Xenopus tropicalis: one gene and its partner. The protein of the gene in region 1 interacts with the protein of each later gene in a biochemical or structural test. Links are inferred from orthologs where the notes say so. Each region holds a gene or a part of one and is shown in the gene's direction. Other genes may lie near its edges.

Region 1 (3,687 bases):
CACTATTAGAAACCCCAGTGGCCTGGTTTTTGGCACAAGTAAACAGTTCTGACAGTTGCTATCATTCATTTAGCTTTCTGAAGTAAAAGACTTAGAAGATGACGCATGCCTTGCCTTTGCAACACTGGATTTAGTTGACGGAAAAACAGAGGATGCAATAATAGCATTTGATGCTGTTAAGAACGTTGTTGCCTATTGGAACCTTGCTTTGGTATGTGTTACTACTCTGCATCTTCTGTGTTTAGTTTGACACACTTCTGTTTTACATTAAAATTGCCTATATGTAATTTAATTTTATGAAAAAACTATCACAAGTAGCTGATGAACTGATGTGCTGGCTATAATGAAGCAGATGATATTATCAACACAGTATTGCTTTTAACCTGATGAAATAGAAATCTATTCTTGTAATTTTTTTTGTAGATATACCAGCGTAAGGCCGAAGAAATTGAAAATGATTGTTTGCCAGCAGAAGAACAGGAAGAGTTCCAGGAGTGCCTGCTTAAGTGCAAAGGCTATTTGAAAATGATTTGTGATGAATATAATGCTGATCCTTCCATTGCAACATTGGTAATAAGACAATTTGAATAAAAGGGCTATATGTTGATATTATTTAGATATAATATTATAGTTCTGTCGATAAAGTCTATACTTGCTAGTGTTTATCCATTAGTCCCCTAAATTACCCGGAGAGGCCCATTTATCAACATTCTGATTTTTGTCGTTTTAAGTTTTTTGAAACCACACAAAAAATTTGAGTTTTAGAGCAAGATGTCAACTTTATGGACATTGGTAAATATTAACAAGGCTTTGGCCTTTCTCCATCAAAGTGTTAGATTATCTGTGTGGCTAAAGACACAGAGCTGTTCATACATCCTGTTGGCTGGTCACAATTATAATGACTGAGGTGCTTACTGGTCCTTGTAATACCATAATCCAGCTCTAACTAACTCATTTCTTTGGTGACTTGGCCCAACGGCTAAAGTCTCTGAACAGCTAGTTAAGGTCCACCAATGAAGTAGGCAACTTGCTTAAAGATGACCTTACCAATTGGCATGCAGAACATAGTGTTTTCTGTATATTTGCTGATATTTCTTAACAATTCACACCAAGGTCTTGTTTGTCTTTAATGTGATCTAGAGAATATAGCGCTGAGCACACAACATGGCAGTGAGGCCTAAAGTAGTGTTGTCATGCATATAGAAGGTAAAAATAAGTTAGTTACATTTTCACTAAAATGCTTTCAATGCTGTCTTGTATATTCCAGATAGCTTCCTAAGAAGCTTCAGTAGTGGGTAAATACTGTAATACTTCAGTAGCAGGTAAATACTGTAGTTGTGTTTTAAATCTTTAAAATGGTGGCTGATTATTTAGAGTAGAAGCCAGTCAAGTATATTTATACTTAACATTGTTGTCATAGTACCGATGCCTTTACTGTGTGGAAATAAATATTCTTTGATATTGCTATAGATATTTGCAAGCAGAAATTCACTCTCAATTGTTAAACCGTAATATTTTGTTTTACTACAGTTGCCAGTTCCAGTTGAGACTGTGATTGAGATGCTGGAGTCAGTGAAGCAGAATCTTGGAGAAGCGATGGAAGATCGTAGCCTGGGCTTTGTGGAAAATCATTCAGCAATAAAACATTCCACACCATCACCCTCCAAGCTGTCCATATCGCCCAGCAAACCAACTCGGGTATTTTATTAAAAAAATGCAGCTGAATTTTGATTATCTACCTTTTCTTGTCAATGAATACAGTCTTATTTGCTTCATATAAGTGTATGTAGAAGCCAATGATGAAACAAATTGCTAGAGAAACTGTCCTGTTACTTAATTGCTCAGGATATTTCTTCTGGTGGCTTTGCTGTGGGTGTCAGGGAGAAGTGAGGTAGAGAGCATTGAATTAAGGGTAGTGGCTTTGCACATATGAGTCACATGTTTGCAAGGGATATGCTCATGTCATGGGCTGCAATGCCATTTCATTCATAGCAAGGCACAGAACGATTACACCAACTTTATACTTTGGGCTAACATACCCCTTTAAGAGAAGAGTGAATATATTGCAAAGCTTAATAAACCCAATAATTTATACAGCTAAATTGTATATTAATATGTAGGGTATTGCTGGAGATTTGCAATTAATATCCATAATTAGCTGGCAATTCTGATTAATAACCGAGAACCAGCAGCTGGTTTTGGGTTCCTTTTGTGCCCTTAGATGCCTACAGTTTGTTTAACATTTGTAAACTGTATGCAAAATTACCTCTAAAGTCAGTTTCTTAAAATTCTTTAGAAATAGGGTAAATTAAGGTGGTTTAATTGGTTACAATTTAACTCAAACTACTTATGTACCAGTATGTGATGTTCTTTTAAAGCTTTCATGGCAGCCCAAGGCAACTACAGCCCATTAGCAGTGGAAAATCTGTGCCTCCATAGATGCAAAACTATGCAAAAAAAAATTAGCTGGGAACAGAAAGTATACAATTAAATCCTGATTTTGTCAAACAAGAAGGTAGTGATAATAAAAACTGAACTATTTTATTTTTGTTTTTTTAGTTTTCTCCCAAAACGCCACCACGTTGGGCAGAAGATCAAAAATCTCTACTTGAAGTGCTCTGTAATAAAGTAGAAGCATTGAAGGTAAGGGGAGGTTAACATTTGTTTAATAAAAAGGTAACCAAAGCTTTTACTGTCTAGTGCCACTTAAGGGTGCCTACATGCAATCCTAACATGCTTTGTTCATGCTTGGTGGCCCTAAATTACATTCTACACTTATGTGGCTTTCCTCCAGTCCTGTTGCATAGAACTTATGGTGTTAAGCCTAATAACTTCTATACCTTCAGCTGTCACAGTTTCTGCTTTTTCTACAGCTACCATTCCTGCATTCCATACACATATTTATATGATGTACACTTTTACTTTTAATATTTTGTTATTTTGTCTTAAAGAAAGAAGTTCAAGAGCTGAAACACAACAATTCGAATGCAAACGCTTCCCCTCATAGATGGCCTAATGAAGGATTTGAGCCTGACAGTGTTGCTGATGGCTACCAAGGAACTCAAAGTTTCTATACAGTTCCCCTAACAGGTGAGGCATAACATATTATTCATTATTGTATGCTGCTTGGCAGTGAAAGGCTCCCTGACATTGTTTTGATTTTGAATTAAAGGAAAACTATACTTTCAGAAAGAATACTTAACCAACAGATAATTTATATTATAAGTGCCCTAATAAATAATCTTACCAAATTGCCATGTACATATCTGTACATGTGACCTTTTTACATCTTTTCCCCTTAAAGCTACCATTTTCTGATGTTTTGTGTGCTCTTTCAGTGATCACTTGACAGGAAATAATACAGCTTTATCTAACAACAGAAAGAAATAAGGTGGGGTTGAAATCTTTCACCTGCATGAATTTAAGTTTTGCAGGTGACAAAGGGTCTGGTTATTATCATTAAAGTTTATGATGGAACAGTTGCATGAATTTTGTTCGCCATAGCAGGCATATCCTTACCTTAAGTGCAGTTGAACATGATTGGTACAGGTATGGGAACCCTAATCCAGAATGCTCGGGACCTGGGGTTTACTGGATAAGCGACCTTTCTGTAATTAGGATCTCCTACCTTAAGTCTACTAAAAAAATTATTTAAACAGTAATTAAACACAATAGGATAGTTGTGAC
Region 2 (4,220 bases), on another chromosome or scaffold:
AGAGATGGGAAACTTTGGCTGCTCTGGAGAACATATTTGGCTGGTCTGGAGAATATGGAGAACATATTTGGCTGCTCTGCCCAGTAATAATTCCCTTCTGGAACCAGGTGAAACAGATATGTGAGATGGTTAGGGGATAAACTGCATAATGTATGTATGTATATCTTTATTTATAAAGCGCTACTTATGTACGCAGCGCTGTACAGTAGAATACATTAATACAAACAGGTGGTTAATAAGATAATAATAGATAAATACAAAGTATAACAATAAATACAAGATAAATACAGCTGCAATAAGTTAGAGTCAAGGACACAAGAGGATGGAGGTCCCTGCCCCGTAGAGCTTACAATCTATATGGGAGGGTAACTTACAGACACAAATAGGCAAATATAAGTGCTGTAGGTCACAGTGGGTGACATTACAGTATAAGTGCCAGTTCCCAGATCAGGTGCTGGGTGAGTGCTCCAAAAGGGAGTCTTTAACCTTAGTTTTAAGCGCTTTTGTCGGATGGTGTTGGATCAGCCAGTACGATTTATGGAAATAATTATGACTACTGGTTCAGCTAATGAAAATACTAGCATAGATTAGAAGTTGTATATGCAAACGTATAAATATTGTTTTATGATAAGCTTGTAAACCTCTTTATATTTATTTTTTTTATTTAACAGGATTTAACACCTTTATGTTTTTTCGGTTCAGCATTTATCAGTGCGTCACTGACAATTCTAGATAAACCATTACTGATCATTAAGTGATTATATAAGCATAGATTTACAATTTCTTCATAAAGAATATCTTCCTGTGATAATTTTACTGTAACTGACATAAAGTTCAATAAATGGGGAATAAAAAAATAAAATGATGACAATTTACTTGGCCCTAGTTTGCGCCTCTCCTTTTTTTTGATCAACTTAGGAGAGAAGGCTTTGATGGCGGCACATTCTGCTAGCAAACAGGAAAGGCTCCTTCTGTACCCTCTCAGCAAAATATATGAACGACTTCTAAAGGAATTGGTAGCTGGGGCGGAGGAAGGCGTGGCGAAAAACCAACACAGAAGACAAGTCTTTTATTTATGCTCTCTAACCGAAGTAGGAGGTGTGGGCAGAGGAAGTACAGAGTTTAATTGCGACATTGTAACACAAAGTTCTGCCGGCCTGTCGCTCCCACTGGGAGACTAATGGGTGAGTCATTGCGCTTCCGCGCAGGCGTGACCAATTCTCGCGAGATTTTGGCGAGAGTAAGAGACCGGCGACTGGGAAGCTGTACTTGCGGACTGTAAGTACCGAGCCGGGGCTGTGTTAGCAAAAGCGGGACTTTGGGCAGTATGATAGCAGTGTAGGGCAAAGACCATGCGGGTTCCCTAACATTTGCCATCCCTACCGAAGCCTGCAGCTCCCTGACAGCCGGGGGGCCGCTCTCCGCAACCCTCGTGGTTTTGGCGGGATGTGTCATTCATAGATTTGCTAGTCCGGCCTCGTCATGTGGGAGGGGGAGGCGAAAGGGCATTGCCCTGGGCTCTAAGCGCCAGTGGGGTCACTTACTTGCTAAAAGGGAAATGTGTAAGTGACTACTAGATACTTTCAGTCATCAGAGGAAAACCTGCTGCTGAGAGTTGTAGTTCAGGCTCAGCTAGAGGGCTGTATCACCCCCCAGTTATGTACCCTCTTGGCCTCTTCAGATTTTCTGCTTCTCTTTAACTGGAGAGTTTAGGATAGGGGTGGCCAAAACGTCGATCACGGTCCACCGGTCGATCCCCCATGGATTTCTGCTGGACCGCGTCTAAGCCGGGAAATGCAGAAGTGCGACGCGTTTATTGGGTATGCGTAGCTACGCTGCGTCGCATACGTACGCGGGGAGGAGTCAAAAGTAGACCGCTGAGGGAAAAAGTCTGGGCACCCCTGGTCTAGGATTTTAAATACTGTCATGTCAGATGCTGACCATGAACATTATGTGATTTAAAAGTGTAATTATTCTAAATAAGTATATTCTTGTAATTATACTTTGCCTTTTCAGTCACGGGGGTAGCTCCCCTATAAAATAACTTGTATAACGTTATGATTTTCATTCATGTTTTCATTTCATTCAGTGTGAAAGCCAGCACTTTACCTGCGGACATACACTCTGCTCTGCTTTGTGGGGCTGCACTGAAGCGGGTTTTGTAGTTTTTAGTGCAGGCACGTAGGAAAGTGGATCCCCTTCACTTAGTCTGATGGAAAAACGCAGAGCTGAGAGAAGCGCATCTACGCTTCGTGTGGCCTAGTCCTAACAACTGCATAGATGTGTGAATGAGAACCTGAATAGGAGATGGCCTGAATAGATAAGTAATAATTGTAGCATTAGGGTGAACACAGACGGAGCTACTAGTAGCAGCTACTTGTCATGGCTACTAAAACAGACAATGCTGATCATTTACTGAGAACAGTCTCTACGTGTGTTTTAGCAGAGGCAATTATCAGTATTGTCTATGGCAGGGTATTTTTCTGGCTTTTAGTAGCAATTAAAAAGCTGCTACTAGTAGCTTCACCCTTAGGACTGAATAGTCACGCCGTGACATCCTGGTGGGATGGCCGAAGTCACTGAAGTCTCCTCTCAAGGCGACTTCACCAGATTGCGTTGCCACGTATGCCATCCCACTGGCGAATTACATTCTAGCTGGTGGGATGGCATTGCGGGGAGATTAGTCGCCCACAAAAAGGGAGATTTGTCACGGCGCAACTAATCTCCCTGTGATTCACAGCCCTTACTGCTATTTTTTATCACTAACCCTCTTTGAAAGTTGTAAGGTGCGGAGGCAAAAGGAAGCTATAAAATGTAGACACTGTAAATAGATAAAAATGACACTGTACTATAGTTAGCTTAATGGCAAACTGCCCCCCCCCCCAAAGCCAGAAAATCAATTCATGTTAAGGTTTCTTTTGTTTATTGATTATTATATTATGTACTTCCGGTAGTTACGTTACAAGGTTATTAGAAGTCACCTTGGTTCCATATAAAATCACAAGACAGAAGGTAGCTTTATTATATTTTATAATACAAGAGTTTTGGTGGATTTTGTGACACAAATACTTCACTAAACATACAAACTTAATATAACTAATGGCATCAGTAAGCACCATTTGCAAGGATATATTTTACAGGACATCCACAGATTATATGGCTGAAAATTTCTGAGTTTTACTTCTCAATTGAGAAAGCCAGTCAGATGACTAGCGAAAATTCAATATATACCGTGACCTGGATGAATGAGAACCTTCACAGATACCTTTTCTGAATTTATTCCCATAGAATATATTCTGTGGGATTGAGTTGGGGTAAGGCAGGGCATGCACAGTAGTGGATTCTTATACTGCCTTTCTCTTCCACATTGGCACTTGTGTTCGTTTGCAGCTTTGATGCATGCACAGTTCACTTTGATGATTGATATACTTTTCATGCACCCACACAAGGAACACTCAGGAAATAAATAATCATAAGGGAGAACGTTAAATTATATTTTCTTTGAAGAAGCATTTTTTTTATAAGAACAGGATAGCAGGGTGGCTGGACAGCATTTGTAATGGGGCTTGTTCTCCACCCCAATTTATTTTAAGATCATGACATTGTTAAAATAATCTTAGGGATGTGTTACCTGTTCAACAGGTTCTCGGTTATACTTCTTATTTCTCTGGTTTATTAAGAGAGAAAAAGTGTGACAATGGCTTCTGAAGATATTGCGCAGTTGACAGATTCCCTGGCAAAGACAAAGGTGGAGGGAGGAGGAGAGCTAAGCTTTAAAGGGAAAAGCCTGAAACTCAACACTGCCCAGGATGGTGAGACTATATATGTATTTGATACATTTATTTACCTTATCTAACACTATTTATGTGCATAAAGCAAGCTTTATGCACTACTATTTTACTATCCGAATACGTGGATGATACACCCATCTTAAGTGTAAGTTTTTATTTATACTGAATAATATAAAAAAGAGCTGAATAAGTAAGGCAGGGAAGTAGTAAATATTTAAATGTAAATATGTGGCTGAAACAAGAGTAACTTTTAGTATTTGGGCTCCTTTATAATGGCAGTTTGTTTTTTAAACAAATTAATATTTAGCTGAAGAAGTGATTCGGGAAATTGAAGATTTTGAAGGGCTGCATGCTCTGCGGCTGGAAGGCAACACTGTGGGACTGGAGGCAGCTAAAGCAATAGCCAAAGTTCTGGAAAAGAAACCTGAT

The links. The genes of interacting proteins can lie anywhere in the genome.
Region 2: the proteins of ranbp2 (region 1) and rangap1 form a complex in vitro, tested with the Homo sapiens proteins (5 studies listed by BioGRID and IntAct, with this or other methods). The link is inferred for Xenopus tropicalis from reciprocal best matches to the Homo sapiens genes RANBP2 and RANGAP1.

What each region holds. Positions count from the first base shown.
Region 1 is NC_030678.2:109,294,956-109,298,642, reverse strand, and holds part of ranbp2 (ranBP2-like and GRIP domain-containing protein 4), read left to right. Parts: intron 1-73; coding exon 74-211; intron 212-423; coding exon 424-570; intron 571-1,530; coding exon 1,531-1,698; intron 1,699-2,559; coding exon 2,560-2,643; intron 2,644-2,951; coding exon 2,952-3,090; intron 3,091-3,687. UniProt on the Homo sapiens protein: E3 SUMO-protein ligase which facilitates SUMO1 and SUMO2 conjugation by UBE2I. Involved in transport factor (Ran-GTP, karyopherin)-mediated protein import via the F-G repeat-containing domain which acts as a docking site for substrates.
Region 2 is NC_030680.2:121,811,077-121,815,296, reverse strand, and holds the start of rangap1 (ran GTPase-activating protein 1), read left to right. Parts: upstream 1-1,250; 5' UTR 1,251-1,278; intron 1,279-1,586; exon of another isoform or gene 1,587-1,820; intron 1,821-3,642; exon of another isoform or gene 3,643-3,680; coding exon of another isoform or gene 3,681-3,697; coding exon 3,698-3,812; intron 3,813-4,098; coding exon 4,099-4,220. UniProt on the Homo sapiens protein: GTPase activator for RAN. Converts cytoplasmic GTP-bound RAN to GDP-bound RAN, which is essential for RAN-mediated nuclear import and export. Mediates dissociation of cargo from nuclear export complexes containing XPO1, RAN and RANBP2 after nuclear export.